Linked DNA regions of Lonchura striata. The protein of the gene in region 1 interacts with the protein of each later gene in a pairwise test. Links are inferred from orthologs where the notes say so. Each region holds a gene or a part of one and is shown in the gene's direction. Other genes may lie near its edges.

The links.
Region 2: the proteins of MAD1L1 (region 1) and CWF19L2 interact in binary tests that used the Homo sapiens proteins (3 or more experiments, as listed by UniProt). The two-hybrid records come from large-scale screens. The link is inferred for Lonchura striata from reciprocal best matches to the Homo sapiens genes MAD1L1 and CWF19L2.
Region 3: the proteins of MAD1L1 (region 1) and BAG5 interact in binary tests that used the Homo sapiens proteins (3 or more experiments, as listed by UniProt). The two-hybrid records come from large-scale screens. The link is inferred for Lonchura striata from reciprocal best matches to the Homo sapiens genes MAD1L1 and BAG5.
Region 4: the proteins of MAD1L1 (region 1) and LGALSL interact in binary tests that used the Homo sapiens proteins (3 or more experiments, as listed by UniProt). The two-hybrid records come from large-scale screens. The link is inferred for Lonchura striata from reciprocal best matches to the Homo sapiens genes MAD1L1 and LGALSL.

The regions. Positions count from the first base shown.
Region 1 is NC_134618.1:13,417,829-13,426,003, reverse strand, and holds the start of MAD1L1 (mitotic spindle assembly checkpoint protein MAD1), read left to right. Parts: upstream 1-4,862; 5' UTR 4,863-4,891; intron 4,892-4,953; exon of another isoform or gene 4,954-5,212; intron 5,213-5,486; exon of another isoform or gene 5,487-5,513; intron 5,514-6,015; 5' UTR 6,016-6,019; coding exon 6,020-6,169; intron 6,170-7,386; coding exon 7,387-7,527; intron 7,528-8,175. Other genes in the region: NUDT1 (oxidized purine nucleoside triphosphate hydrolase), read right to left, coding at 1,036-1,187; MRM2 (rRNA methyltransferase 2, mitochondrial), read left to right, coding at 1,774-1,811, 2,470-2,720, 3,418-3,842. UniProt on the Homo sapiens protein: Component of the spindle-assembly checkpoint that prevents the onset of anaphase until all chromosomes are properly aligned at the metaphase plate.
Region 2 is NC_134604.1:44,165,736-44,173,100, reverse strand, and holds the start of CWF19L2 (CWF19-like protein 2), read left to right. Parts: upstream 1-4,005; 5' UTR 4,006-4,014; coding exon 4,015-4,080; intron 4,081-7,365.
Region 3 is NC_134608.1:10,004,859-10,012,793, forward strand, and holds the start of BAG5 (BAG family molecular chaperone regulator 5), read left to right. Parts: upstream 1-4,835; 5' UTR 4,836-4,907; intron 4,908-5,482; 5' UTR 5,483-5,511; coding exon 5,512-6,864; 3' UTR 6,865-7,935. Other genes in the region: COA8 (cytochrome c oxidase assembly factor 8), read right to left, coding at 335-425, 2,386-2,449, 3,506-3,703, 4,620-4,718. UniProt on the Homo sapiens protein: Co-chaperone for HSP/HSP70 proteins. It functions as a nucleotide-exchange factor promoting the release of ADP from HSP70, thereby activating HSP70-mediated protein refolding.
Region 4 is NC_134605.1:1,265,628-1,272,881, forward strand, and holds the start of LGALSL (galectin-related protein), read left to right. Parts: upstream 1-4,237; 5' UTR 4,238-4,279; coding exon 4,280-4,312; intron 4,313-4,470; coding exon 4,471-4,542; intron 4,543-4,710; coding exon 4,711-4,799; intron 4,800-5,248; coding exon 5,249-5,426; intron 5,427-7,254. UniProt on the Homo sapiens protein: Does not bind lactose, and may not bind carbohydrates.

The DNA.
Region 1 (8,175 bases):
CAGGCCAGCACAGGTAAACACACCCAAGGAATTAAATGCTATGTGAAACCATTAGATTTACCCCAGAGCTGGTGGCAGGAAAGTCTAGCAAACGTTAAGTGACAAAACTGATGTCTCTCTCTACTCAGAGATGATAAATGACACGAAAAGCCATGATGAAGTGTCAGGTACATTAAGGCCATGTGCTGCTGGGAGCACATCTGCACAGAGACCGTTCTGTCCCTGGGCCCAGCTCACCACAGGACCTGGGTGGTTGTGCTGGCACAGCTGAGATGGCTGTTGAGGGCAGAAGCTGTTGGGAACCAGCTGAGCACACCATGACTGATCTTCCTGCAGGTGCGAGGGCAGCTTTGGGCACGTTATCAGAAACTGAGGAGATGGCAAAGTATGGCTTTGTATTAGCAACATTCATGTAAAGAACAAGGTACCTAATTTTTAGAGGAACTTAGCAATTCAGCTGTGATTTGCAACTTAAGTTTAATGACCAGACAGATGAAAGAACTACAAGAAATCAGTACTAAAGGGTTCAGAAATTACACAGTGCCTTTTTACTGATTAAATTCCACAACTCAGCATTAGCACTTAAAAATGTCACCATACAATCAAATAATAAGCAGTTTGGTTAATAATTTAAATTAAATAAGTTGTAATTCTCCTATATAGCCAAAATTAAGCCCTGCACCTCTCTGAAGAGTGCAAGAACCTCCACCCACCACTCAGACTCATTCTCAGTTTAAATCAGAGTCCAGGAGATGGGACAGAGGATATAGGATGTTCCAATTGCTCAGAGACTGGACGAGTTTAAGATTTGCAGATGACAAAGGGCAAGTAATCCTGTTTCTCTGTACATGTGGATGATCCTTCATTATCTGTGGAGCAGGTGTTCAGAGGTGGGTCATGACTGCACTGGTGGGTAACACGAGGGTGTCACTGACCAGACAAGCCGTGGTACCTCCACCTGCAGCCCACTGCCGATGGTCCAACACCTCACCTGTGCCTCCATGCCTGTCCCCATGGCGCGGACCCAGCCCTCACCTGCGGGCAGCCTCCTCGATGCTCTCCCCGGGCTGCACCTTCCCCCCGAAGCCATTCCACAGCCCGGCGCCGAACCCGCGCTTCTTCATGCCCAGGAGGACGCGGGACGGCTGCACCACCAGGACTAGGGTGAAGAGTCTGGACGTGTGCATGGCTCCTGGGAGAGGGACGAGGCGGCGCGCTGTGCCAAGAGCTCCCGGCCCCCTTCGGAGGGAGCCGGGGGCGCACAGAGCCCCTCACGCCCAGCACCCCGCCCCAGTGCCCGGTCCCTCTATCGCTCCCACTGACCTCGCTTTCCTGCTACCTCAGCACCGCCTTCCCAAAGTTCGACCCCCCCTTCCCAAATCCTTGTTTCCCCACACCCCCGGGAATCCTGACCACCTTTAACACCCTCCTCTCCCAGCACCCCTTCTCCCAATCTTCGACCCCCTCCGCAAACCCCTGTCCCCCCAGATTATTCTCCGACCACCCTCAACACCCCTTCCCCTAATCCCTGCGCCCCTAGAAACCCCTCCCCAAATTCTAAATCCTTGCTGCTCCTAACCTCCCTCCCTGAATCCTTAACTCGCAGCTCCCCTTCCCCACATCATCGACCCCGACCCCGCGCGCACCTCAGCCCCACAGCCGCGGTTTCCCGCCCGCCGCGGTGTCCCCCTCAGCCGCGGCCCTTCCCGCGCCGCCGCCGCCCCGCCCGCGGCCGCCGTGAGGGGAGGCGGGACGGGGCGGGCCGCGGCGGCCATGGCGGCCGCGGGCGGCGCCGCCATTGCCGGGGGCAGGTGCGCGGCGGGGTCGCTGAGGCGACCCCACGCAGGGGATGGTGGCGTGTCGTTCGTGCCGGAGCTTCACTCGGGAATGGGTTAATGGGTGTTTGGGGTTTTAGGGTTATGCCGCCCGGCGGTTCCCGTGGCTGTTGGTTGCTCTGGCGGGAGCTGGCAGGAGCTCGGGCGTCCCTCCGATCCTCTGAGCGGTCGCGGGGGGCAGCGGCCCCGCTGAGGCAGCTCAGGAGTGCTGGGCTCACTCTGCCATGTCGTGTCCGTAAAACACCTGAGCAGAAGCTGGAGTGGGATCTCTTTCCCCCCTTAGCTCAGGATAACACGTGAGGCCTCATCCAAAATCTGACCCTGCTGTTGTGATAGGACCTGATAAGTAAAGGTGCCAAAAATCTCAAATTTAGGGGCTTCTTTTTAGAATCAGGGAATGGTTTGGGTTGGAAGGGACCTCTGGAGACCATCTAGCCAAATAACCCTTCCAAGGCAGGGTCACCTGGAGCAGGTGACATAGGAACGTGTCCAGCTGTAGTGAGAATCTCCCTACAGTGAGACTCCACACCCTCCCTGGCTGCCTGTAGTGGCTGGAATTAATTACTGTAGAGACTTCTGAAACACAGAGTGGTTATTTACTAACTTGCCTCTCTTCCTGGCTTTGCATGAGCAGGTGCCTGCACACCACAGTGAAGTTTCTGAGGAAAACTGGAGCTGAGCAGAGGTGGTTGGAGCGGCACTTGAAGGATCCCTTTGTCAAGGCATCGAAGCAACAGCATTACCGATGCCGGAGTGCCTTCAAGTTGCTGGAAACTGATGACAAGCTCCGTGTTCTTCGTCCAGGATTTTCTGTTCTTGACTGTGGAGCAGCACCTGGTGCTTGGAGCCAGGTTGCTGTACAGAGGGTCAATGCCTTAGGTACTGGTAAGTGCAATTTTTTGGCAGGCAAGATGGGGGTGATACTCCTCTTGATGAGTGTGACAGATCTGTGAAATACTATGGAATGTAAATTGAAATACTATGAAATCAAGGAAATATTATGATGGTAACAATGTGGGGAGGGGACATGGGTACTGGCAAGTGCCAGAGTCACTGATAAAAATATGAAAGGGTGAGCCTAGTAATTCTTCATATAGAAAAATTGTGTTTATGAAATAAAACATACCATGTGGTGCTAGTGATCTGATTAGCTGATTAGCTGTTGTCGGGAAGATCCCTTCATCCAGTTCTGAAATAGGTGTGACTTCTAGCAATTACCTTGGCTTATTTAAAATATTGTTTCCCTTCTCAAAAAATGGAAGCAACTTCTTTGCATGGTTTATATGGGTGAAGCCATTGATGTTTACAAAGTGAGGTGTTATCTGCAGCATTATCCAGGATTTCTGGACTGTCAGCCTTATAAGAGCAGCAGAAAACCAAAAAGAAGCCTCCTTGTTTATCCAAAGTAGCTGAGTTTTTGTGTCTTGAATGGATGAGATTATAGCAAATCCAGCAAACTGCCAGGGGAGGAGAAGGCAGCTGTGGCAGGTGGTGGGTTTTGTCTACTGACAGACACAGAGCTCGTGCATGTGCAGTTTTTTGCAGCCTCTCTGAGTGTTCCCTGTGTCATTCCTCCTTACAGATGCTGCTGTCCCCACTGGCTTCGTGCTTGGTGTTGACCTGCTGAGGATTTCTCCCCTGGAAGGAGCGGTTTTCCTGTCAGAGACTGACATGGCAGAGCCCAGCACGCTGAGGGCCATCCAGAGCCTGCTTCCCTTGGGGAAGGCAGATGTCATCCTGAGTGACATGGCACCCAACGCCACGGGCATCAAAGAGCTGGATCATCAGAAGCTGATCAGTCTGTGTTTAGGCCTTCTGGATATGTCCCAAAGCATTTTAAAGCCAAAAGGAACGATGCTCTGTAAATTCTGGGATGGATCCGAGGCCCGTCTGCTGCAAAACAGACTGAAGGAGCAGTTCCAGGATGTGAGAACTATAAAGCCTCAGGCCAGCCGGAAGGACTCTGCGGAATCTTATTACTTGGCAAGGCTGTACAGAGGGAAATGAAAGTCATGAGCTGCAGATTCTCTGACATGGATTGGAAATCTCAATTTAGTGGGTGTTGAAAGGAAAATCCCACCATTAAGACCTTGGGAAAATTTGTTGCTCTTCTTTAAGTCCATCAGGCTTTTCAAATACTTGCAGACAAAATGGTTGGGAATGGAGAGGAATAATCTGAAAGGCAAGCTCTGGGAATGGAGTAATGGAAATTAAAATAAAATGCTGATTATACGAGTTTTTAATGTGTGCCTGAAAATCATTGCACTGTTAATGCTGCCAGACATGAGACTGACCATAAAGGTGATCGTTAGAACGTGAGGAGAACATGAGCAAAGGGGAGTTTGAGCCAATTCAGTGCCTTTCAGAAGCTGGTGTGATTTATTAGCAGGTCACAGGTAAAAAATAGAAAATGTGTCTGTGCACATCAGGATCTGTCATGCATGGTGTGTAGCACAACCATGTGAGAGGCACGGCTGACTTGGGAATGTTCAGCCCCATGGCTCTGCTGCCTCTCCCACAGTACAGGTTATATTTAGGAGTTGCTGCCTCCTGGCACTCCTAAATCCCGTCAGTGCCAGTGGGACAGGGTCATGGCCACGCAGCTCATCTCCCCAGTGCTTTCTAGGTGTGGCCAGTGGTGTTTCTCAGGCGAAAAGACAAGATATTCCTAAGATCCCAGTAGGGAGAATGACTGAATTGCCAGAAATCTGCTTGCACAAATAAATTCAGCTGCTGCCTTATCTGAAAGCGACAAATTTCATATTAAACGCTGCTTTTATCGGGCTGACCGTGGCATGAGTTATATGAGAGGCTGTTTTGAAGACTCCAGGCCTTTCTCATCACCACCTTGGGGCTGCTGGCTGGATCCCTGCCGGAGCAGGAGGGCGCGGGGCGCTTTTTGGGGGTGCGGCCCGAGCTCTAAGCTTCACCGCCTCTTATCGGGGCATTACGGTAGCGCGCGGAGGGCTGCGCGCATAATGCCGCCCTTACGGCCCACGGCGCCGCCGCTCTCGCGAGAGGCGGGCGCGGAGTTCCCGCGAGACGCCGTGGCCGGGGTGAGGAGGGAGATCCAAGCGGGGCGCGCGGCGAGCGCTGAGGGAGGCACGGGGAAGGGGCGCGGACGGGGGAAACGGAGGGAAGGAGGCTCCGGCCGCGCCCGTCCCGCCCCGCTCTCCCCCAGGGGAGTCGTGCCGGCGAGCCCCTCGGTGCCCGGAGCTGCCCCGTGCCCGCCGCGGCCGCTCCCGGTGCTCGCTGCCCGCCGCGGGTCCCTGCGTACCCTGACGGGTTTCTGGAGCGGACCGGGTCACACACACCGAAGTGTCGTCGTAATCGCTGGGAGGTTTGGGAACGGGCTTGCTGGAGCTGCCTGCCGGCAGGTGCGTTTAGTTCTCCAGAGCTCGGTTTGGGTTTTGGCAGATCTGTTGGTTCTGCGCCGCTCTTATGCTTCCTGCTCGTGATGCTGTAAATACAAACAGTAACTGCTGTGTAACCCCGGGAGTGCAGGAGCCCCGAGGCAGCCCCAGGTCTCTGTCTGTGCTGCATCCATGGGGATGTTGTGGCTGCCCTTCCTGGTCCTGGACCTTTTCCGGTGTTCCTGGGGATTTATGGAGCGTGCAGTCACTGGAGGGACTCACCTGAGGTTTCCTGAAATCTGGGGAACCTTGGAGCCTTTCCTGAGTGAGCACCATGCTTGATTTCTCTTTGGCCTTTTAGTTAGTACGCTTCTAAATTGGGAGGAAAAGCTGTATCTCATTATATAAATAATTCGATGCAGTTTCACTTATACAAGTGATCAGTGGATTTGGGAAGACTTGTTGGAAATTAGAGTCCAAAGTGCTTCTGGGAAACCAGAGACAAGTTGTGTAGCAGGAAGGGTTTGCTGCTACTGTGGAGTTAGTTCTTCTCCCATCAGATTCAAAAATTAGGGGGAAGAAAAATGAGTTTGGTTTGGTCAGAGAAGAAGATGCTGTCTTGCATCTTTTTCTCATTTCAGAGGAAATTACAATGTCAGCCTGGATCATGTTTTCTGTGGATCCCAGCAGTGCAGATTGCAGATTGATTCTTACCCTGTAAATGGGAAGACCTCGTGTTTAGTCTTTCCTCAGGGCAGTGATGGATCCCTCTTTAGCAGAGCATCTTGCTCTGAGTGTTTTGCTGATGATTTTCTGTCTATTTCCAGAGCCATGGAGGACTTGGAAAATAATACCACTGTCTTCTCCACCCTGAGATCCCTCAACAACTTCATTTCACAGCGAATGGAGGGAGTGTCTGGGCTGGCTACACCTGGATCTAGTCAAAGCTCCTTACAGATGCAGTACCAGCAGAGGATGCAGGTGAGGAGTCCTCATCTTGGTGATTCCTGCAGCACCACTTCAGTGTGGCCATGTGCTCCTTTTGATTCTAGGAGCTGGGAATTTCATTCAGTTCTGACCGTTCATTCTGAAACTGACACAAACAAATAAAGGAAGCTTGCTGCCACCGTTCTGGAATATTTTTAGAATATATTTAATTTTTTTACAGTGTCAGTTTTATTTCTGTTTTATAAAAGTTTAAGAAAGGTTCTTTGAATTTATTCCCTGCTAGTTATATCTGTATAGCAGCTCAGGAAATTAAATTATGAGTTGTTTTCATAATGCTGAACAAAGGAGCTTTATACTTTAACATTTTTTCTGGTAAGACACTTTGTTACCTTTTTTCAGGATTTAAAGGCTTCTTTGCCTGGACACATACAGGAGACTTGCATTGAGCTGTGGCTTTGATATGCAAACCAGTTGTGCTTTCTTATCCACCTGAGTTATTTACTTTTTTTTTTGCTGTTAGCTGCTTCAGGCTCATAAAGCATAAAGTAAATTGACAATCTTAGATCCCAGGAACTGTTTATTAGGCTGCAAGGAAGTATCTCTATTCTGTATCTTAATATAATTTCTATTTCAGTCTCCAAGTAAAAAAATGTTTGCTTCTTTTTAATGTAAATCTGCTTTGCATTTGGAACGTTGACAAAAGTTTAAGCTTCTGTCTGTGCTACATCTCTGGTGGCAGCAGTAGTTGCAGGAGGCTTTCTGGTTAGTCTCCATCTGCTGTGTGTTGGATGTACATCATCAGGATGTGAGTAGTTCTTATAGTATTGTCTGTGCTCTCAGGTAATTTGACTGAAAAAATGAAGTGGAACGTTGTAGAGGTTGTGGAAAAATGTGTTATTTTGCTCAGCAGTTAGTTTTATTTGGAGCATGATCTGTGCTTCTTAGGCTTGGAGAATTCATAATTAGCTTTTTAGATAAAGTAGATTTTGTCAGACTACATCTAGAGATTGAGCAATTCTGATTTAGGAACCAGGAATTAGTTTCTTTCCAATTCACCTTGATTTGGTGTGGGTCTCTGAGCATGGTGTTGAACTCTTTGTTTCCCCATCTACAGCTGGTGTGAGAAGTGCCACAAATGTGGTGATAGTTTGTAAAATGGCAAGTTAGTGTCAGCGAGCAGTACAGGGCACCATGATACTGTTGTGCTGTTAATGGTGTGCAATGTCCCTTCTCACACATGAACTGGCCAGCTGGAGGAACAGGCTGGGCAGATCCACTCCAAATCCCAGCTGCTGCAGGTGGAACGGGAGAAGATGCAGATGGAGCTGAGCCACAAACGAGCTCGCATCGAGCTGGAGAAGGCAGCTAATACCAATGCCAGGAACTATGAGGTGAGTGGATGTCTGCTCATGGCTTGGGAGCATGGCCTAAGCCAGAACACATGGAGAGCATTTACATCAATGATTTGGGTCAGGGATGTGCTTTGGTGTGCAGTGTCTGTCTCAGAATGTGTATAGTTACTCTTTGGAGTGAAACCAAGCTGAAAGGTGCATTCCAGGAGCAAGCCTGGTGTTCTCCAACTGCTAATGGACACTGTCTTCAGAGCAGGACTTCAGTGACTCTGGAATGCATTTATTGTGTTTGCATTTACTGCGGGCGTGGCTGTCAAGTTGCCAGCACCAATGCATCTACAGAACTGCTCTGCAGGTCCGCTCTCAGTGCACTGCACTAACTTGCTAATGTGCGCAAGAGTGTGGTCTTGAATCCTCGTTATGTTCACAGACTGATGATCTGATCACTGGATTCTGTTAGCTTAGCACTGAAATTGTCATAGGTAGCAGTAACAAAAGGGATTTGTTATATGTTTCTCCCAGAAGTATTTAATAATTTTTCTCCTAGAGGGTTTAAACTTCTGCTGGCACAATTGCAAGCATTTAGTTTGTGTGACTGTAATTAATTGGAATGGCAGCAGTTCCAGCCATGCAGTGTCACGCAAGAGAGCCTGCACTGATAAAACACTGAGCCTCACTCAGGGCCTA
Region 2 (7,365 bases), on another chromosome or scaffold:
TATGATCTTACTGGATAATGTTTTTCTTTAGTATGAGGACTTCATAATGTGTTGTTGTAACTGAGGTAAGAAATGCTCTCCAGCATCACAGTGGGAAAAGATTTTGTTTTCTCAGGAAAAAACAAAAAACAACTCTTTTCCCTAGTGAAACCTTGCATCTAGTTTAAAGAAAACTGCACAGTATCACACTGAGTAGAGAGGATTTTTTTTTAACCTTTTTGAAATAAAAATAAAACAAGCTGAGAGTTAAAGCACGTAGTGAAAGTTAAAAGCATGGAGGTTTATAACACACATCAGTTGGAGAGTGACCAATTTCTTTCAGAAAAAGTGTAAAATGTGCCATTAAATGGAAAATAATACTTCACTAGGAAAGGTCAGTTCCTCCCTGAAGTTCATAAAAATCAGTATATCCAGGGTATTACTGTTTTGTTAGCCTTTTGATTTTGGCACAGAGAATTAGACAACTGAGCAGAGGTGCCCAGCTGACCATTAAAAGTGGTATACCAAGAAGTATCTCTCTAGGCTCACTGAAGATTTCTGAGCATGTGAAGAGCTCTCAGACATACCAATATCTTCAAAGAAATAAGGGTAAACTTTAGTTTTTACCTGCTCCATTTAAGAAAATACTTTTCTCAAAAAAAGGAGAGGAAATGAAATTAAATTATGCCACCATTTCCCTAACCACTGACTTCAAAATTAAAGGCAGCCCTCAGATATAACTTTCTAGGTTTTACTGTTCTTCAGATTCTAGAGCATATTTGTGTCATAGTTTCTTTCCTAAAACCAGGAGTATTAGAAAATCATTTTAAATTAAAATTTACAGAACCACCCTATTAATGACATGGAGGGTTACAGGTTTGAAGAATGGCACCTAACAATGCAAGAGCTCACCCTGTGCTTTGAATCCTCTTCTTTGTCTGTAACTTTCTGCTGTAGAAAATACATTCCCTGTTCTCACTCCCAAATTGTCCACATCTGTCACTATTCACACTATGCCACAGTCTCCAGACTTTCTGTTCGCATTTTCAAATACTTCCTAAACTGATTCAGTCACAAGTAGTTGGCTCAGCTCATGGACTATCAATTTTCTGTTTAGATTTAATACAAATCTATTAAGCCCATATGCCTGGCTGTGTGCTGAGCGAGTTAGAGAGCACCCACTTGAGATACTCTGCTGGCTGCCTGGAACAAGTGGTAGCACTGGGATGGAAAGAAACCAATTTGTTGGTGAGAAGAGCACATCACAATCAGAGAAGAGGCTTTCCTTAATGGGGCAAACATGCTCTTTTCTTGCTTCTCCTCTTTCAAGCAGTGTACTTTGCTGTATATAGCCAAGGACTGGAAGTAGCATTAGTCAATCCTGCTGGAACATCTTCTGTATCCATCTGTTTCCTCTGTAAATGGCTCCCTGAAGAGGTTTCACATGCTGCTTTTCCAAATGGTGCCTATGAAAGTCTATCAGTTATCATTCTATACCTGTGGTGATCTACAGCAGGTTTTTCTTGAGATGCTGTTAACTGTCAGCATAAATTGAACAATTGTGCAAATTTAATTTACACATTTAATACCACCATGGAGATGATGATTAAATTACTGTTACCACTTTAAAAACATACTGTCCCATGCAAATAGCTAACAAATTACCCAAGATCTTCACTCAGACCTTGGCCTAAATAATATTACTTGGCAGCTGTGGACACGTTTGGTGTCAGACACATTAATAATGCTCTGATCTCATCCCAAAGAAATTATGTCCCAGATAAACATTTGTTTCACCAGAGGCAAAGAAGCCCTGTCAAATGGTGTTGACCAGCTGCAACTTCCAAATGGTTGAACACACCTGCTTTTGCATTTCCCTCTGCTCACCCGTGCACATTCTGGGCAGCCAGCACCCTGACATTACAGAGGTCACAGTCTAACATGGATGCACTGAACTGGCTGAAAACAGGTAAGAAAGTGTCTGGAAAATCACCTGGAGGTGTTCACAGCAATGGGGAGCACTGGGCACTGCAGAGCACCTGAACCTGTGAGCATCTTTCAGGCCACGTTCCCTTGTTTGCTCTCATTAATGCCAGTCTGGACAAGCAGGCTAGGGTCTGTGCAAGGGAATTTCAGCCCAGCAGGAGGGATGAGCCTGGATGTCAGTATCCCCAGTGCTGAGGATTGCATTTAGTGCTCAGTGTGCAGCTGCAGGCTGAGTACTGGGGAGAAGCCTGAGCCTGAGGCAAGAGACTCTGAAACTGCCAAAGGGTACAGGGACTTGTGGTGCCAGCCAGGTGCCTGGACACTCCGGGACATGGAAGGAGCCAAGGGTTCTAGACATGGCTCTGCTTGGACTGTGCTTGTGAGGGTGTAAGAGCCCTGAGATTTCTTCACTTGGGGTCCCTCCTTGAAGACACCCAGCTCAAGTTGTCATTTTGTTGTGGTATTGTGATTAAACTATTTTAAGGATTGAGACGTCAGAGACTTTGCTGTGGGAAACCTGGGGTTGAGCCAGTAAGGAAGCCTTGTCTGACTGTGGGGTGTGTAGCTGCCAGGGCAGCTCAGGTGGTGTGAGTGTGACTGCTGGAGAGGCTTCCGGGCGGCTGCACAGGGAAGTTTCCTTAATGCCCATTGCAGGACTGTGTGGTCCTGTTGGTCAGGTAGCACAGGGTTCCAATAAGCTGCTGTGCCAGGACATGGTCTTTGCTGGGACTTCCACCTGTGATGCTGGTGAGCTCTGAGCAAGGTGTGGGGAACCCACCTGGGTGCGTGGGATGGGGCAACCCTGGATGTGCAGACAGACTGGGACAGACTGAGGCTGGAAAGCAGCACCATGGAAAGGGACCTGGGGGTTCTGGTGTGTGGCAAGCTGAACATGAGCCAGCAGTGCCCTGGCAGCCAGGAGGGCCAACCCTGTCCTGGGGGGCATCAGGCACAGCATGGCCAGCTGGGCAAGGGAGGGGATTGTCCTGCTCTGCACTGGGGCAGCCTCACCTCCAGTGCTGGGTGTCACAATGTAAAACAGACACAAAGCTGTTAGAGACTGCCCAAAGGAGGGCAATGAAGATGGTGAAGGGACTGGAGGAGCCATTTGAGGAACGACTGAGGGCACTTGGTGTGTTCAGCCTGGAGGATACTGAGGGGAGACCTCATCACGGTCTGCAGCTTCCTTGTGAGAGGAAGAGGAGCGGCAGGCACTGATCTCTGCTCTATGGTGAGCAGTGACAGAGCCGAGGAAACAGGCGTGCAGCTCAGCCAGGGGAAGTTCAAGTTGGATACTGAGAAAAGGTTCTTCACCCAGAGGGTGGTTGGGCACTGGAACAGGCTCCCCAGGGAAGTGGTCACAGCACCAAGCCTGACAGAGTTCAAGAAGCATTTGGACAACGCTCTCACAAGAATCAGACGGTGTGGTTCTTGGGGATGGTCCTGCGTAGGAGCTGGGCATTGATGATCCATGTGGGTCCCTTCCAGCTCAGGACATTCCATGACTCTATAACCCTGCCATGAACCGAGCGAGAACAGAGGGGCTGAGGGGCCGAGCCGTGCCAGACCCCGGCTCCGGGAGGTCCCCGCCGTGCCCGGCTATCCCCGCTGTTCCCCCGTGCCCGGCTATCCCCGCTATCCCCCTATCCCCGCTGTTCCCGCTATCCCCGCTATCCCCCTATCCCTGCTGTCCCCGCTATCCCGGCCATCCCCGCTGTCCCCCGTGCCCCGCTATCCCCGCTATTCCCCTATCCCCGCTGTCCCCGCTATCCCGGCCATCCCCGCTGTCCCCCGTGCCCCGCTATCCCCGCTATCCCCCGCTATCCCCGCTATCCCCCTATCCCCGCTGTCCCCCGTGCCCCGCTATCCCCGCTATCCCCCTATCCCCGCTGTCCCCGCTATCCCGGCCATCCCCGCTGTCCCCCGTGCCCCGCAGTCGGGCGCCGCCGCAGCCGCCCCACCCCGCCCCCCCGGGGCGCTGTTCACGACAGTGTCGGGCGGCGCTGCCGTACGGCCCGCGCGGTTTCCGGCGGGCGGTGCGGATGGCGGATGGCGTCCGGGGCGGCGGGCGAGCGCGGCCGGGAGCGGCGGGAGCGGGCGGCGCTGCCGGCACAGGTGGGGTCGCCGGCCTTGCCCGGCCTTGCCCGGGCTGCTCAGCACCTCGCCGTTCCCTGGGCTTGGCGCTGGGTGCTGCGCGGGTCGGTGCGCTCCTGAAGGCGGCCTGGCCGCGGCGGCCGCAGGCGGGGAGGCCGAGGGAGAGCCCCTCTGTGCCTAGGGCAGCTGGGCTGCGGCACCGACGGTGGCGGGACGCAGTCTGGAACTCCTGCGTGGCACCCACCCGGTTTCGTGCGTTTTGCCACTTGTGGTATTGATCCTCTTGGTATTTCACTTATTATGTATTTCTGTGCTTACACTTTTGGAAAGAGCCGGAGTCTTTACCGTCTCGCTTCAGATCTTTTATACATTGATAAGATGGCACCACCCTCACTCCCCGGCTGAACAGACCCAGCTCTCAGCCTTTCCTTAAATGAGACTTAAAAGGCGATAACTTCTCCTTGTCTTATGGCCCATCTTTCCTAAAGAGTCTGTATCCCTCCATTGCAACATTCTGGTCATAGACTGATAATAACTTGAAGTTGTGTGCATGTGTTAAGAAGTGGGAGCCTGATTTCATAGGGTCAGTTTTGTGCCTGGTGATATGTTACTGTACTGTAAGACAAGAATTAGGAGGCTCCCACTCTCAGGTGCTTTGGTAGAGATGCTGTGACTTGGAGACCCATGCTAATCCTGGTGCATTTTGTTCAAAATCTGCCTGGTTTTGGTATTTGTGATGATTCAGGTTGTCACTTGTAGGTAGAGTGAATGCTGAAGTCACAAATGGCACATCACTTAAGTGACATGGCTTGTTTTTGGGGTTTAAGGGAAGTGTAAGAGAAGTGTAAGAGAAATACTGTGGAAAGAGGATGAGGTTGTGATGATAGGCTTTTGACAAAAGGAAGGCTAGGGTAAGCAGCAGTCAAATCTTTCTGGGCAAAGATATTGTCAGAAAAAATGTAGTGGGCAAATGACCTGATTAGCCTGATGCTGACAGAGCAGTGATGCCTTTTCTCAAGGCAAAGCAGAAAGAGAGAGGATTTTATGTAATATATCATGTGGGCATCTCCTTTATGGAACCATTTCTTGGCAATAAAAGTTCCCTTCAGCGATTTCCCCCCCTTTTGACAAGCAGTTGAAAGGAAATTAACTTAGTAACAACGAGTCACACTGCCCTGCAAAAGTTTGTTGATGTTGTTAGGATGTTTGTTGCTTTACTCAAACTTCACCTTTGCTCAGTTCAACCTCTTGGATGTTCAGAAAATGCACTTAACAGAAGAAAAGCTTATGTAGGGCACTGTTATCCTACTTTACCTTTCCTTCTCAGCTGGTGCCCCTTGTACAGCAAGTTGCCTGGGCCAATGCCACTGGCTTAGAATCATAGAACAGCCCTGGCTGGAAAGACCTTGAAAGATCACTTGGTCCAACCCCTTGTGGGAAAGGCAGCCTAGGTGAGATTATTTAGTCCTCTGTTCAGTCATATCTTGAAAAACTCCAGTGGCAGGGTTAAGGAAACTCTCCTGGCTGATCATTCAGGAAGCACAGTCCCCAACCCAGGATGCACTCCCACCACACGAGGCTCTCACTGCTGGCACTGGAGCCTTTTGTGGAGAGCAGCTCCAGTGAGCCAGTGTGTGCTCTGCTTGGTTCCCTATACACAACACTCACACTCAGACAAGCTTCCCTTTCCAGCTTGACCCCAGGTTTTCCATGGAAGAGTCAGAGACATCTGAATCCTTACAATAGTTTAATCATGGTGCAGAACACGAAGTCAGTTTGAGCTGGGTGCCTCCAAGGAGGGGTCCTGAACAACCAAATCTCTGAGCTTTTATACCCTTGCAGTCTTAAGTGTGCCATAGTCTGGGTTCATCCTGCTGAGTCCTTGGCTCCTGCAGTGGCTCCGAGTGCCTCAGTGCTCTCCTGGCTGGCCCCACAATGAGAGACCCAGAGGTCTCTCATTGTGCACAGGGGCAGCACCACTTCAAGGCCTTTTTGCTTGAGGCACAGGTTGTTTTGGCACAGTTCCAGTAGTTGCTAGAAAGTTTGGTATCTTGAGCAGGGGGGCTACACTTCTCACTGCACTACGTCTCAAAGAGTTGCTGCACTTCAGCACCAGGGTACGCTGTTAGGATATGTCTCAAGAGTTGTTTGATGATGCTGCAGCTTCTTAGGTCCTAACTCTCGGTGTTAATTCTTGTAGGTTTAGATTCTGTTCATCAGCCTTGCTGAAGAATATTAGAGAAAGTGGTTTGGAGTTTTTAGAATTAAACCAAATCTGGCATTTTTTATTATTGCTAAGCTGTAGTGTATTAAAAGGTGTGTATATAGGATCTTTGTTGAATTTTGTAATTTTCTTTGACTTGAACAAGAAACAGACCATCATTGTATTGTTCAGCATATTTTTAAAATGCCATGAATACAAATTACTCCTACATGAATATCTTAAAAATGCATTTGCAGTATTTGTGTGATACTAGAGAAAACCCAGTGCACAACACTAATTTTCTGGAGTAAGACAAACTGATTTTCTTTGTACAGCAGTGGGCTCAGAGTTGGCTTTTACCATTCAAAACGAACAGATGGGCAGTAAATAGCTCTATAAAGATGCTACGTCATTGCTTAGACAAAAGCTGATCAAGTATTAGAACCACTGAGATGAATAAAGAGCAAAGGAAGTGGTTGCATGGTCATGTTACCCAGTTCTGTGTCAAATAGCTTATGCAGCCCTGGTCCCAGCATCTCAAGAAGAGCCAAAGAACCTTGGGCACGGTGGGAAGAAAGGTGCAGAGATGATCATGGTGCAGACTGGCCAAGGACTCTAGAGGTTTTGAGACAAGGAAAGATAGGGAAACAGAATGGAGTATAATTTGTGAAATGCTAGCCACTATGATTCTTCAAGTTCATTTTTTGTGGAGTGTAGGAATGGATCTGGAGACAATGATGTTTTCTACAGATGTTGACCATTAGAAGTGCTTGGTCCCTATATGGCTGATGAGAAACCTCCCCAATGTGACTTTTCAACTTCTTACTGAAAGTCACAGTATAGAGTCCGTGTTATATTTCCACATTGTTATGTTTTCACTTCCAGGCAGCCTAAAGCTAAGTCAGATTCTCTGATTTTCAAAGATTCTCTTGGGTGCATTGGGATAATACAGAAACATACATCATTTATCAAATATTTTTCTTTGCTTTTGCTTGTGGAATTGCTGTGTTTGTCATCTTATGAATGTTCTTGGAACTATTTCTTTTCCATGCAGTAAGAACAAAAGTTGAAGTAAGGAGCGGACATACTGAAGGTTGGGAGTT
Region 3 (7,935 bases), on another chromosome or scaffold:
ACAGAACTTTCAAGTGGTATATTTGCATATTTATCAGCTTTAATTAGCAGCATGAAAAGACCTGTGCCCTAAGATAATAAAATGTGCCTGATCTTGTCTCTTTAAATCTCAGACTTGAGCTTATCTTTCCACTAAAACAACAATAAGCAGCAGAAATAAAATGATAATGCAGATTTGTCAAATCCTAATAACAGCATTAAAAAAAATTCAAAAATTACAGGGGTTTGAGCTGTCTTATCAATTACATAAAAAATGTCCAAATTTTAAACTTGATATTTTAACCTCTCACTTAGACTGTAATGTATAATGGTCAACATAAATACGTTCTACGTACCTGTTGTACTGCAAATGCTTTTTTAAATTTTTACTTAGAAAGTCCTTGTAAAAGTCAGCCATTTCTTCTGCATTCAGTGTTGCTTTTTGACCTGAAAATAGGTTTTGGTGTAACAAAGTCAAGGCAATTCTTTGGATCAAGACTGTGGGTTCAGATGCTAGGTCTAACTCCTTACTCCTACAAGCTTTCTGTTAAACCTCAACAAGTTAATAATATGTCTTTAACTTTCAACCTTTTAAAACTTATCTAGAGAGCACAGCAGATGAAAAATACTGATCATCTTGAAGTTGGCATAGCTCTTAAACACCCATCACTTGTGGAAGTAACAAAGTTTACCAGCTCTTAGACTACTTAGGGAACCAGTGAACCCTATTAAAATGTGCATAGATCTAGGAGTATCTATCCTTTGAATAAAATAATTTCTCACAGTCTGAAGCCTAAAGAGTACCAATAAGAGCATTTAGTAACAATTTCCCCCCTAAAGCAAGTCCATAAATATCAAAAGAACACTATCCACAATTGACATGGTATTTTCAAATGTAATTCTTTTTATATTGCTGTTAATAAATTTCAAGTAACTGCAGGCAAAAAGTTTATGTTCTGAGATGTCAGATTCCAAACAATCTAGTAGGCAATTATTTTGAGAAGAAGGAAATACAAAAGATGATTTTGAATATGTCACCCATAAGCAGAATATAAAAGGTCCAGGAAGACCTATGGCTACAGCATAAGATGTCTAATCCTGAGAACCAGCAAATATTCTCAATTCTACCAGACAATTCCTACACAACCCTTCTGGCACAAAATGTCCCTAAAATGACAGTCAAATTTCAATGCCCTAGAGAACATGGATATGATGAGGGAAATGGAATTGCAATATTCAACTTGTTACAGTTCCAAAATACATTTTAAGGCTCTTGAGATTGACCACAGAAATGTAAATTACTGATTGGTTCTATTTGTCATTATTTAAAAACTAATATATCACAATGTATTAACAGACAATGGGACAAATTAACTATAAAACCATTTGAAGGCTGCCAGTTTAATACTTATAGTTCATTTGTTTCTTCATACTGGTATCAGCAAAACTGATTAATTACATAGGAAAGCAAGTTTCATTCACTCTTCATTAATATTTTCACAAACATTCACAGCTATATTATAGAACAGCTGACCAAAGGCATGCATCTGATATAGATTTATTTTTACTGGAAGTATGTGGTCTTTTACTTCTAGAGTATAAAAGCAAAACAAAAAACCTAACAAAAAAGCAATATAAAAGAAGTGGTTTTGAAACAACATATATCTTAATTAAAATTACTTCTCAAGCACACACTGATCACCAGAATACAAACAGAAAAGAAAAATAATGGTCTGTGACATACAGAACCTCAAAGCAGATGCTTCCCTGAACTCAAACAGATCATTATTCCGTGAACAAAGTGTTCAACCTCATACCACAATGCCCAATTCACGATTATTATGAAGGCATTTTGTTTTCATTTTCGCATAATGAATTAGAGAGACAACTATTTTACAGCAACTGTGCCCAGGCAGAGACAGGCAGATAGCAGCTGCCAGCTCCCCAGAAGCTGCCTTACACTCCCTCAAGGAAAAATATTGCATTCATTGGACACACCACGGACCTGAAGCCAAAGACTCTGAATTTAACCGCCCAGCCATAACATGCACTTGAGGCAAATGCTCTGTATGTTTATGTCAGCCAGCTCACTGGCTTAGGAGGTGTGAAAGTAAAAAATCCTTCCCTCCTTAGGCTACATTATTATATCACTGGGCTAGGATTTCAGAACATTCCTTCTGGCTGTGGGGAAGGAATTAGGGGGAGAGAGTGCAACAAATGATCTGACCCCCACATGCACATCTCTGAAAAGCTCCTTGTCTCTCTTATTATCACACTCCTGAAAACATTTCTAAATCCTACCCCTAAGATTTACTTGTGGCAGAACACAAAGAGCATAAACTAACAAAATTCAAAGTTAAACAAAATTCAGAATGCATCCTAAACTATTAACAAAGATCTCACTAACCTGATTCATCTCTCATTTCCAGACCCTTGGCTTTCAGTCTTGAATAAATAAATTCTTCTTTTTCCTAAAACACGTTTTTCCACATTAGAATGGGATGCAGTCAGTCCTTGAAGTTAACCATTGTTTTTAATTACATAGCAATGTCGTGTTCAACACCCTTTGAAATAACTAGCAATACTCGTTACACTTGGAAGTGTCAACTGAACACTTTTCTTAGTCCAGTGAGTTAGTTAAAACTGGTCACTTTGCTCCTGCTACCTGCATGCATCAATTAATGCAAATGTCCTACTGATACTTATAAAACTGATTTGTGAAGTAAAGCTACAGACAAACTTCAGTGCTGTTCGACAGGAGTCAAACTTTCAGTTTATATAAACTATGGAATGTGCTGTATGACATAACTGAGATTTTGAGCATAGAGGAAAAGGTGCAGCCTAAAAAAATTAAAACTATTTAGATGGAAGCACAATAATCATTTGTGTGTGTTTCATGGACTTAAACAGTTTTTTTAATACCACAGTTATGTGGTATTAAAAAAAAAAAAAACAAGATTCATTTTGTTCTGGGATCTTTGCAAGTTTTGAGAGGATATGATGTTCAACATCATAAACAGTGGTGAGTTACTGAACTGTTACTGTTCTTCCAAAAAATGCCACATTGGCTGGGAGATGCTAAAATCAGGAAAGACACTCACTTTAGCCTTGCTAAGATACGCTGCCAATGAAATGGGACATATTATTTACCCTCATTTAGTCTTTGTAATTACACCAAATTTCTCTCACTTATGACAAGAGAAAAGCCAGCCATGGAATAATTTTCATCAGCTGCTCTAGTCAGAGACAGGTCTTGCATGTAGGGCAGCTACAACTTTATACTTTCAGTGCAAGACAGGAAAAAGGTAAACACTCTATGCCCCTAGGCAGCAATAAAACGTGGACTTCTTAGTTTTGTGCATCATTTAAATAAATGAACGACAAACCCGCCATTTCCTGCATGACCCTGAGCGCATTAACAGCGGGCAGAGCTGCGCCCCACCTCAGAGAGGCCGAGCCCCCCAGTTTCGGGCAGGCAGGCGGGTGCTGAGCAGCAGCAGCAGCAGCAGGTGCGAGGCTGTGCTCACCTGGTGGAAGGCGCGGTTGTGCCGTGCCCAGAAGCGCTGGTTGCTGGCCTGGGCCTCCTGGCGCGCCTCCCGCAGCCGCCGCTCCAGCGCCGACTCCTCGGGGGGCACGTAGAAGATGATGGGGCGCAGGTTGGAGAGCTTGTCCGGGGGACCGATCCAGTCGCTGTGCGAGTGCGCGGGGGGACGGAAACCCGGGCCCTGTGGAACACAGACACAAGGTGTGAGCAGCACCGCCGCAGAGCTGCTGAAGAACGTCTCAACTCGGAATGAATGCCCAAACGCCTCGGAACCTTAAAGCGTGCAAGCGTAGCAAGTTCAGAAATAAAGCACATTTGTTTACTGTGACCACAAACAATGGCATACATTTACAATTTACTTTTACTTACAAATGCACTACAAGACCTTTAACTCTTACCATGAGCATAAATCGTGAGATATCTTTTTCTGTTTTAATTTTTCTACCACTGATACTCTGTTAAAGTATTTCACGGAGGGAACTAGCAAGTAAGTATCCAAGTTTTTTACAACGCTGATCTCTGCCCTCTGGTGACCAATGACAGCACCCGAGGGAACAGGGTGAAGCTGTGTCAGGGGAAGTTTAGGCTGGATATTAAAGGCTCTTCACCCAGAGGTCATGGTCACCGGAACAGACTCCCCAGGGATAGGGTCACGGCCCCAAGCATGACAAGCTCAAGGAGTTTTTGGACAACGCTCTCAATGGTCCGATTCTTAGAGCTGCTCTGTGCAGGGCCAGGAATGGGATTTCGGTGATCCTTGTGGGGGCCTTGAAACTCAGCGTATTTTATAATTCTACGATTCTAAGTTTTCCTCAGCCCGGTGTTCTTCCTGCTTTCATGTGCCCACACACAGGCGTGTGCCTGCCCCAGCCGGGTTCAGGAACACCTGGCGTTAGCCAACAGCCCGAACCTCAGCGCCCCTCCAACAGCCAACACCGGGAGCCTCCACAAACACATCGAAAACCAGAGGCCGCGGGCACCGCGGTTTGCCACGGCCGCCCCCGCCCCGCCGGCGTTCCCGGGAGGAGCGGAGCGCTCCCCACGCAGGGCTCCGCGGGGCTTCCCCCGCAGGAGCTGCCGCCCCCCGCCGGGTTTACCACGCTGTCCGGCCGCTCGGAGGAGGAGGAGGAGGCGGCGGAGGAGCGGGAGCGGCGGCGGTAACAGCCCCCGGCCCGCAGCCCGCGGGCGGCCGCCATGGCCCGGCGCTTTCCGGCGCCGCCGCGCGGGGGCCGCGGGCGGGGCGGGGCTCGGTCGGGGCCGGGCCCGGAGCCGCCTCGGCCTCCGCCTCCCCGTGCGCGGCCGGGCCGGGCGGGGCTCGGGCGCTGCGCGGCGCTCGGCCCGTGGCGCAGCGCCGGGCCGGGCAGCGGGGCCTCGCCGGGCGGCGGGTGAGTGAGGGAGCGGCTGCGGCGGGTCGCGGGCGCCGCGCGGGTTCGCTGCGGGGCCGGTGGGGACGGGCCTCCCGCAGGTGCCTCGGCGGCGGCCCGGTGTCGTTTCCTCTTCGCGGTGCGCCGGGCCCCTCCGCGGGGGAGGCGGGAGGTTGCGGCCATGGAGGGGGCGGCGAGTCCTGAGGGGCAGCAAGGTGTGTGCGGGAAGGAGCGCTGCTCGGCGGGTGCGGCGGCCGGGTTCGGCCGGGTTCGGCCGCTGTTCCCCCCCTCGCTGCGGGCTCTCCCCTGGGCTGCGGGTGCCCTGTTTGATCTGCGGCGGCTGCAGCTGCAGAGCAGGTGGGGAAGGCAGGGCGGAAGGCTGGGGGTGAACATCCTAGAGCTGGGCGTGTGGCAACTAAAGCGTCCCCCCTTTGGAAAGGTGTGGAAAAATTAAAGGGTTGTGAAACATCAGCCAAGTGGTTTATTTGTATTGGTGAAGATACTTAAAATAGCTGTAATGCTGAAGTGCTTCAGAATGTAAAAGTTGCGATGTGTGCTCGTGTAGCGCTTAAGTCTTGTTATCGTTTTCCTTGTAGTTCATCTGAAGCTGGACGAGCGAAGAGGAATGGATATGGGTAACCAACACCCATCCATAAAACGGTTACAAGAAATCCAGAAAGAAGTCAAAGAGATTGAACAGCAAGTGGCTGGCTTCAGCGGTCTGTCCACCGACCGAGATTACAAGAAATTGGAAAGAAGCCTTACGAAACAGCTGTTTGAAATAGATTCTGTAGACACCGAAGGGAAGGGGGATATTCAGCAAGCCAGAAAGCGAGCTGCCCAGGAAACTGAGAGGCTGCTGAAGGAACTGGAACAAAATGCAAACCATCCGCGCAGACTGGAAATAGAGGCTTTATTCAAGGAGGCACAGTCACTTGTGGAACGCGAGATCACGGCTTCTTACAAAGGAGGAAACCGTATAAGTGATGAATTTGAAGAAGGAATTCAGGACATTGTGCTGAGGCTTACACAGGTGAAAACTGGAGGCAAAGTTTCTCTACGCAAAGCGAGATACCGCACTCTGACAAAGATATGTGCTGTTCAGGAGATTATAGAGAGTGGTCTAAAGCAACAGCTGTCCCTGCCACTCTCTAATGATGCTCATCCTTCTGTCTCCAAAATTAACTCTGTAATGTGTGAAGTGAACAAAGCCAGAGGAACTCTCATTGCACTTCTAATGGGAGTGAGTAGTAATGATACCTGCAGGCATCTGTCCTGTGTGCTCACAGGCCTCATTGCTGATTTGGATGCTTTAGATGTCTGCGGTCGCACGGAAATAAGAAACTACAGAAAGGAAGTAGTAGAAGAGATCAATAAATTGCAGAAATACCTGGACTTGGATGAAGAAGCAGATTCTAGTCATGCTTATGATTTGGCAAAAAATCAGTCTATTCTAAAAATAGAAGAGATCCGTAAGAAGATGAAGGAAGTTCATTCCTTACTTCTAAAAACAGAGAATGCTTCTGATTTGTATCTGGGATCCAAAGCAGAGTTGCAGGGACTAATTGCCCACCTAGATGAAGTGAGTCCAGGAAAAAATCCCTGTATTAGAGAGGCCAGGAGAAGAGCAGTAATTGAAGTTCAGACTCTTATAACATATATTGATTTGAAGGAAGCATTGGAAAAAAGGCAAATGTATCCAGAGCAAACTGCTGCTGAACATCAGTCTCATAAAGCAGTTTGGACTGTACTTGGAAACTTGTCTCAAATTCAGAAAGAGGTGATTTCATTTGATGGAAACAGAACAGATAAAAATTACATGAGACTGGAAGAACTTCTTACAAAACAACTTCTAGCCCTGGATGCTGTTGATCCGCAAGGTGATGAGCGGTGTAAGGCTGCTAGGAAGCAGGCAGTAAAGCTTGCACAGAATATTCTTTACTATCTGGACATGAAAACAGATGAATGGGAATACTGAAACAGCCATGGCCTGATACAGAAGAACATTTTTCCCTTTGGCACTTTATGAAGATCATTGGCAGCACATAATAAAGTCTTCTGTGCTTGCTGAAATCATGGAAATTGCATAAGCAGTTGACTTGGCTATATGTCTGCTATCCCACGCAGTCACCCACTTGCCATGGCAACTGTCAGTACACCATCAGCAATTCTGGTCACTGATATAAGCAAAGTGCAATTCTCTGAAGGAATAGCTTAATACTTGATCAAATAGCTTCTTCTTTTTTCTCTTTTTCTTTCTTGTTTTTATTTCAATTGCCTTGTGCAATGTTTAGTGAATGCAGGCTTTTCAAAGACACAGAAACTTCCTTACGGTACAGTACTGGCAAAACTATTTAAGGAGACTTGAAAATTAGTGAACGTGAAAATTAGTATTCAGGCATGAGGCTCCATCCAGCAACTTCACAGCAGTCTGGATGTACTGTTAATGTGCTGTCATGACATAAAGTTCTAAGGACAAAAAGCCTGCTGGCTTTTGGATTGTACTTGATTTTTCCCATCCATCATGCCATCTAGATATCTCAGTTAATGGAGCTGTAATGCCAGCTGCAAATTAGCATTTACATAGGCAAAGCCAATTATGTCAATTTTTGTAATACCTGAGACCTTTGATTTGCAAAACCAGGTCTTTTGTTGGTGGAAATTCTTTCAAGTTATTGCTTTAAGGTACTGAGACTTGGAGAGGAAAATCTGTACGTTTATACCAAACACATAAAGGGGATTTTGAGGATTTCAAACTGCCATCCATAAACCCTTGAAAACTGCACTGAACTTTATTTAGGCTAATTAGGTGTCTTTTTAAACTCTGCTGTTGCATCTGGTTTTCACATTTGGCGAAAACATAAAAAGAGACTTCACTTTGAAGTGAAATGTGCATTTTGGAATTATTTTTGTAAATTAGGTAGCCAGCTATAAAGATGTCACTAATGATATAAGTGTGTGCTACATGGTCAGGTGTGGCTTCAAGCATGTCTTGGAAAGATTGGTGGCAAATGTCTCTCTTTGCAACTCATTCACTTGTTTTAGAATA
Region 4 (7,254 bases), on another chromosome or scaffold:
ATCTCCTGCTCTGCTCTCCAGCCCCTGCCAAACCCCTGTAATTGGCAGTACCACCCTCTCCCAAGTCCTGCCTTGGACACCCTGCCCAGGGTAAATTTGTACCTGAAAAAAGCCCTCTAACTGAGGATTTGCACTGGCAAAGCTACAAAGGTAAAAAAAAAACCCAAAACCACTGTGCAATCCAAATAATTGTTTATCAGCACTGCCATTCAGGTGTAATCCTGAAAGGAGCACTTCCTCTAACTGTTAAACACTTGGCTCCAACCACTGAATCACATGTATTCCCAAACATTCTCCTTTATTGTATTACTCAGCTTTTTCCGAGTCTTACAAAAACCAGGAGTGGGGTGCCTTGCCACCCAGAAACCAAAGGAAGCTTCCATGAAACCAGCAAACACCTCCCATCCTCTCAACATTGTCATTAAAAAAGCAAAACAAACCAGAGAGGTTCTACAAGTCAGCCTATAAACCCAGGCATGAGGAGAGTAATGTCAGTGGTAATGGGGCAAGAAAGGCAGGGTAATTATACCACACCAAATTTGCAATCGTACTGCATTCCTTGCCAGTGAAGGCCAGCTAAGAATTAGATACACCTTTTTAAATCATCAAAGGGAGTGGCTGCAAGATACAAGGTGCTGGGATTAAGATGAAGTTCTGGGTTTGCCAGTTCTCAGCAATGGCTTTGGTGGCTGGGCATGTCATTAATTGCTCCCAAATGGTGTTCACACCATGCCACTTCTTTTTAATCTTTACATGATTCTCTGCATTTCAAGAGTCCCAGGCTCCCACTGAGCAAAAGGCTGTACGAACCCAGAAATGAAAGACAATACCTGTCCACAAGGTTTTTTGCACTTGGCCAACGAGACAAGTTTAGTAGCTTGTACTTCAGCACCATTTCAGTGGTGCACAAATATTTATGTTGCCCCAGCTACTACCACAAGGTCTGCAAGCTCAGACCCTCAAGCAGGATAACTCAAGAGCTTCCCTGCCAAGAAAGCTGTTAAAAATACTGATTGGGGGCTATTTTGTACAGGATTTTACAAGCACTACATGGGTGAAGGAACAGATTTGGCTCAGATGTCTACATTTTCAGAAGAACAAGCAGAGGAGCTTAGGTGCAGCACTCACCCTGCAGCTGTTTGCAGAGGGGGATTTCCTGGGAAGCTGGGTCCCAAGGAAGCTCCTCCATGGGTGAGAAACATGGTGGAATCCTGCTCCATGGACTGCTGGGCAATGCAGGAAATCTTCTGCTGGAGAACACCTCCCTACAGGAGTGACCATCCCACAGGCAGGACGGCAGCACACCGAGGCAGAGCTCCTCTCTGGTTGCCTCACACTGTTCATGGTATACAGAGAAAGATTTTGGTGTCCTCCTGGACTGTTTCAGGCTATGAGGATAACACGGCACAGAAACACAGAGGCACAGGCCACCAGAGCTTTAAAAACTTATGAATGTCCTTTTCCATCAAAATTTAATAGTGCGGGTTGTTCCAGTCAGTCCATGGCCAACAAAACAAATGCTGCATTTGTGCTAGTTTTGGGAAAACATGCCAAAAAGACAAGCACAAGGCAAAGCAGCTAGCCAAATGGACAAGTCTTGTTATTTAATTGTTTTGAAATGAAAAAGTTCATTTAAAAGCAGCTACAAAATAGATACATAATGATGGCCTCTCCCTTCATAAAACATCGTTCTTTGGCACAAACAACTGGCTGGCCTGATTTTATGTCCAATGAATTTAATTTTATCCAACAAAGTGTCTCTCTGTACAGCAGAGAAGACAAAGGGTTCTGAAAAGAGCTTTTTGGATAACATGTAACACCATACAACTGAAAAAAAAAAAAAAAAAAAAGCTTAGGATGATTTCTGTTCTCTCTTCGGCCAACAGAAAAAGATAACATAATGCAGTTGGCATCATCATCACGGTGAGGTGAGCAGCATACAGGAGGTGAAACACATCAAGCTAATTCCAGTTCCACTTTGTGGTAAACTTGTGAATGCACTCACCTGACCACTGTAAAGCCAGTTGTTTCTCATGTGTGATGGGTTCATGTTACTGCACTATTTACAAATTCATTCTCTAGCAAGATGCTTTTCCATGTGGTGATGAGACATTCAGGGTTTTGGCAAGAAGAAAACAGTCCAGTGGTTCTCCCATGCCGAGACCTGGGCCACAGGGATGCTCGCTGCCTCTTGCCCAGCTGTGCTGGTACACCCTGAAGGAGCCATGACTTCAGTACGTGACTTCCAAACATGAGCTTCTATGAGCCATCTCCAACTGGGCATCCAGAGAGGAAAACATGCCCAAATTAGTGGGCACTACTGAAAAAATAGCCACAGCTAAACACTTGCACAATCTGTTCTTTACACTCAGTACCTCTCGATTTCCCAAATGGCATCACCTACTGATTGCAGGTGTTTCCCAACAGACACCATCATATTGAAACCCTAAATATTGCAGTGACTTTGCTTCCCCCACTCCACTTTACCCAATGTAATTAACCCTGACAGTGCCTCGGAGGAAGGAAGGACGAGGACACTCACCAACCCAGCCCAGTGTGCAAGCAAGAGCCACAAAAAGCCCAGTCCCTGTGTGAGCTCCTGCAGAGCACAGGCCAATTCCAGTTGCTGTGTCACGTTCCTAAGGGGATGCTCATGCCATCAAATCCCAAGCGACAAGAAAGCCTTCCTCAATTCCCAAGACCTTGAACTCATCAAAAGGACCATGACAGCGCGTTCGGCGGGGCGGGTCACCCCTGCTGTGGTCCAGGTGAGGCACGAGCAGGGCCGGTGGTGGCCGAGCTGCCGCAGAGTGGGGCACCCGCAGAAGGGACACCCGCAGAAAGGACACCGCAGAGGGCACACCGCAGAGGGGACACCGCAGAGGGGACACCGCAGAGGGCACACCCGCAGAGGGACACCGCAGAAGGGACACCCGCAGAAGGGACACCCGCAGAGGGGACACCGCAGAGGGGACACCCGCAGAAGGGACACCGCAGAAGGGACACCCGCAGAAGGGACACCGCAGAGGGCACACCGCAGAGGGGACACCGCAGAGGGCACACCGCAGAGGGGACACCGCAGAGGGCACACCCACAGAGGGCACACCGCAGAGGGCACACCGCAGAGGGCACACCGCAGAGGGCACACTACAGAAGGGATACCGCAGAGGGCACACCGCAGAGGGCACACCGCAGAAGGGACACCCGCAGAGGGCACACCACAGTGGGGACACCACAGAGGGCACACCGCAGAGGGCACACCGCAGAGGGGCACCACAGAGGGCACACCGCAGAGGGCACACCGCAGAGGGCACACCGCAGAGGGCACACTGCAGAGGGCACACCCGCAGAAAGGACACCCGCAGAGGGCACACTGCAGAGGCACACCGCAGAGGGACACCCGCAGAGGGGACACCACAGAGGGCACACCGCAGAGGGCACACTGCAGAGGGCACACCGCAGAGGGCACACACACCGCAGAGGGCACACCGCAGAGGGCACACCGCAGACCCCGCCGCGTTGCACACCCGCGGGCACGGCGTGTCAGCGGGAGCTCACGGGCACGGCCCGGCTTATGCACTGCCCGCAGCTCGCCGGAGGCTGCGGGCACGGCGGGCCCGGGGCAGCACCGGCCGGCACGGAGTCACTCCCGCACCTCGGGGCTCTGCCCACCGACCCCGCTCGGGGCCTCACCCCCTGAGGGCTCCTCGCCACGGGGCACGGAGGGGAGAGGCGTGGAGGCTCATTTCGGAGCAGCGTCCCCCCAACACCTCTGGAGGAAGGGAGCCACCTAGGACGCCCGGCTCGGCACATTCTCTTCGCCGAGGCGTGCGAGCCCGGACAGAAAGGCGATCCCTGACACGACGGGCGCGGGGCTGCTGCGGCCCCTCCCCCGGCAGCCATCACCTGCAGGCGCCAGGTGAGGGCCCGGCGGGGCCGCGCTCTGCCCGCCCGCTGAGGGCCGGCCCCGCCGCGGGGCTGCGAGCGGAGCAGGGCGGCAGCCCCCGCCCCGCCCTGCCCGGCTCCCCTCGGGCCGAGGGCTGGGCTCCCCGCCGGGCGAGGCAGTGCCAGCCGGCCGCCGGCCACCTCCCCTCCTCCTCCTCCTCCTCCTCCTCCTCCTCCTCCTCCTCCTCCTCGCCTGCCTACTTCTGCAGCGGCTCCGCTCCGGCTCGGCCGCTACCCCTCCGCCGCCGGGGCCGCCACAGAGCCCCCTCCCTCCCTCCATCCCTCCCTCCCTCCCTCTCCCCCGCCCTGTCCCCAGCGCCGCCGCTTCCACAAGATGGCGGGGACCGTGGCGGAGCGGGACGCGCTGGTGAGTGCGGCCGTGGCACCGGGACGGGGCCGGGACGGGGCCGGGACGGGGCCGGGACGGGGCCGGGACGGGGCCGGGCGCCGGGCAGGGCTCCCGCGGAGCGGGGCGGGCTGGGGGCTCCGCCGGCCCTGCCTCAGCGCTCTCCTTCTCACCTGCAGAAAATAGAGGACGGGCATTTAAACAACTCGCTGGGATCTCCGGTGCAGGCTGATGTGTACTTCCCTCGCCTGGTAAATCACCTTTCTTCGTTTTTTTTTTTTTGTTTTGTTTTGTTTTTTGTTTTTTTTTTGGTGGTGTGTTTTATTTTGTCAATGCCTTTACTGTCCCCCGCCCCCGCTCAGCTCCGGCCGCTGGTGATGCCGAGCTGACCCTCACCACCTTCCGCCCGTCCTTTCCAGATCGTCCCCTTCTGCGGGCACATCAAAGGAGGAATGAGGCCGGGAAAGAAGATCTTGGTCATGGGCATAGTGGACCTCAACCCCGAGAGGTAACACCTGCACAGGACTGCCGGTGCTGGGGAGGGGGCGAAGCGGGGCGGCCACCCGCACGTACACACACACACATCCGCACGGATCCCTGCTTTCTGGAAAGGATTATTTTTATCATTTTAAATATAGCATGCTGGTTTCTCCTTTGACCCATAGAGGGGGCATTTCTTCAAGGGATTCCGTTTTCACTGGGGAGTGAAGCATATCAAGCATATATATCTGCATATATGTACAAATATATGCCCAACGCCTTGCACACACACACATATGTACTCCATAACCATGTTGTTGTCCCTGCTGAGCTTTCAGAGAGCTCTGAATGAGCTGAGCTGTCTTCCAGCCTGTGCCACTACATGGCTATAATAAGCTGAGAAATAAGACTGGTGGCATTTGGGGCTTGTTTGCTTTTTTTTCTGGCTGAATGAGAGCTGTTCTGTTTGTGTTGCAGCTTTGGCATCAGTCTGACTTGTGGGGAGTCAGAAGATCCTCCTGCGGATGTAGCCATAGAACTGAAAGCTGTGTTTACAGAGAGACAGTTTGTCAGAAACTCTTGTGTAGCCGGAGAATGGGGGGAAGAGCAGTCGTCTATTCCTTACTTTCCATTTATACCGGACCAGCCTTTTAGGGTGAGTACCAGGATGGCAGTGGCTTGCACCATGTCTGATAAAGTGTCATTTGACACGAGTCGCAGCAGAACCTGACGTGCCTTTCATGAAATCACAGTGCAGCCGGCACTGCTCCGGTTGAGACACCAGTTGCTGGTTTGTTTGTATCCATCGAGTTGCGTGGAGATCCCGCTGCTACGTGCAGCTGCAGGCGGCTCAGATGGGGCTGTGAGCACCTCACCTGGGCGCTATGACAGGATTGTAATACTGTGTGATGGAGCGCAACTTCCTGAGCTTAGTTTTATAACCATAAATTAAGAGGTACCTCTATGTCATTAGAGCATTACAAGTTATTACTGGAGAATGTTAATGTTCAGTGGGGCTGCTGTAAATATTGATGGGTTTTTTAATGGACATACTGTTTGCAATTTAGTGCAGCTAATAAGGATCATGTTCATCCTTTGTCCCCAGGGATGTTACGTTAAGGTTGACCGTAGCTCTTCGTGTTAGCAGATTAAACAGCTAAGCAATAGTGGCATTCTTTTCTGAACCCTGGGATTAAACCTTCCATCAAACTTAAATCTGTAGTCACTTGAAAACAGTGTACATGGAAGTGCTGTGGTGCTGTGGATGGACTGGGTTGACCTAGAAGCAGATTCCCATCTGTAGTGTTTATGGTTATGTGAAGATGTCTTTGCAAATCAGCACTAACAAAGTATGCAGCTGCAGAGGGCTGCTTCCCTCTCACTACATTGAGGAAAAAAGGCTGCATGCCTTTTCCATGCAGCTGACCCAGAAAACCCCTCCTCCTCCCTGTCCCTCTTACAAAACCTCACTGGCCCCTCTGCTAAATGCCAGTACTATGACCAGCTGCCAAACTCTCTTAATCCTTCTTGCCCCCAAGATAATCTCCCCCAGCCCCAAAAGCTCACCATCTCCCCAGATGCTTGATGTTAAGAGGGTGTTTATATGACTGGTTTTGCTGCAAATTGGTTGCGCTCTACTTGCTTCTACAAACTCACCCTCCCATCAGAACTGGCAACACCCTTTGGTGGTGTGGGAAATGCACTTGAAAAGGCTTGGAGGCTGGGTCCTGCTGCATCTGAAAGGGTTCCACTGCCTTCTGCACTGGGTGGTGACTGGGCCCTCAGACAAGCCAGACAAATTACCCAGAACAAGTTTTGTGCATGTCCCACTAATGAGACGATGTTAGAGGACAGCAATATTGCACATCTATCATGGGAGACAGTAGAAGGGGAGTTATTTTTCCTTTTTTTCCTCCTTTTTTTCCCAAATGCCCAAACAGAATTGAGGCTCCCAATTGACTTTGTACCTTTGATGGTCTCCATCTCAGTGAATAAATTAAGACTATTAAGTGTTCTTGCCAATTACCTGTGATCCAGTCCAATTAGCACCGTGGTGTGGCCGCGGGTGACGTGAAAAGCGGACCGTGAGCAGTGCTAACCATATCTTTTACATAACAAGGCCTCAGGCAGGCTCTGTTGCAGTGACACAGGAGCTCCATGGCTGCACAGCCTCTTCCTTGGTACCTGGTGCACTACCAGGGATCCAGGAGTTCCAGCTCTCCTGGGCTGCCTGCTGCCACTTCTCCTGGTGCAGTGTGCTTTAAGTCGCTTGGGCTTTGGCACAGTCAGTTTGTCACAGCCCTGTTCCCATTTTTATACGCTGTAATAGCAGCAGAGTCAAGTGTCTGGTAGCAGCACTTCACTCTGGACTTCCAGCTTCTGGAAGTGACCCAAGATTTACATGTGGCTTCCCTGAAGATTTTCTCCTTAGTGTGTCTAGACCTGGAGGTCTCCAAAAGCCTGTATAAGTGCATGTTTTGTGT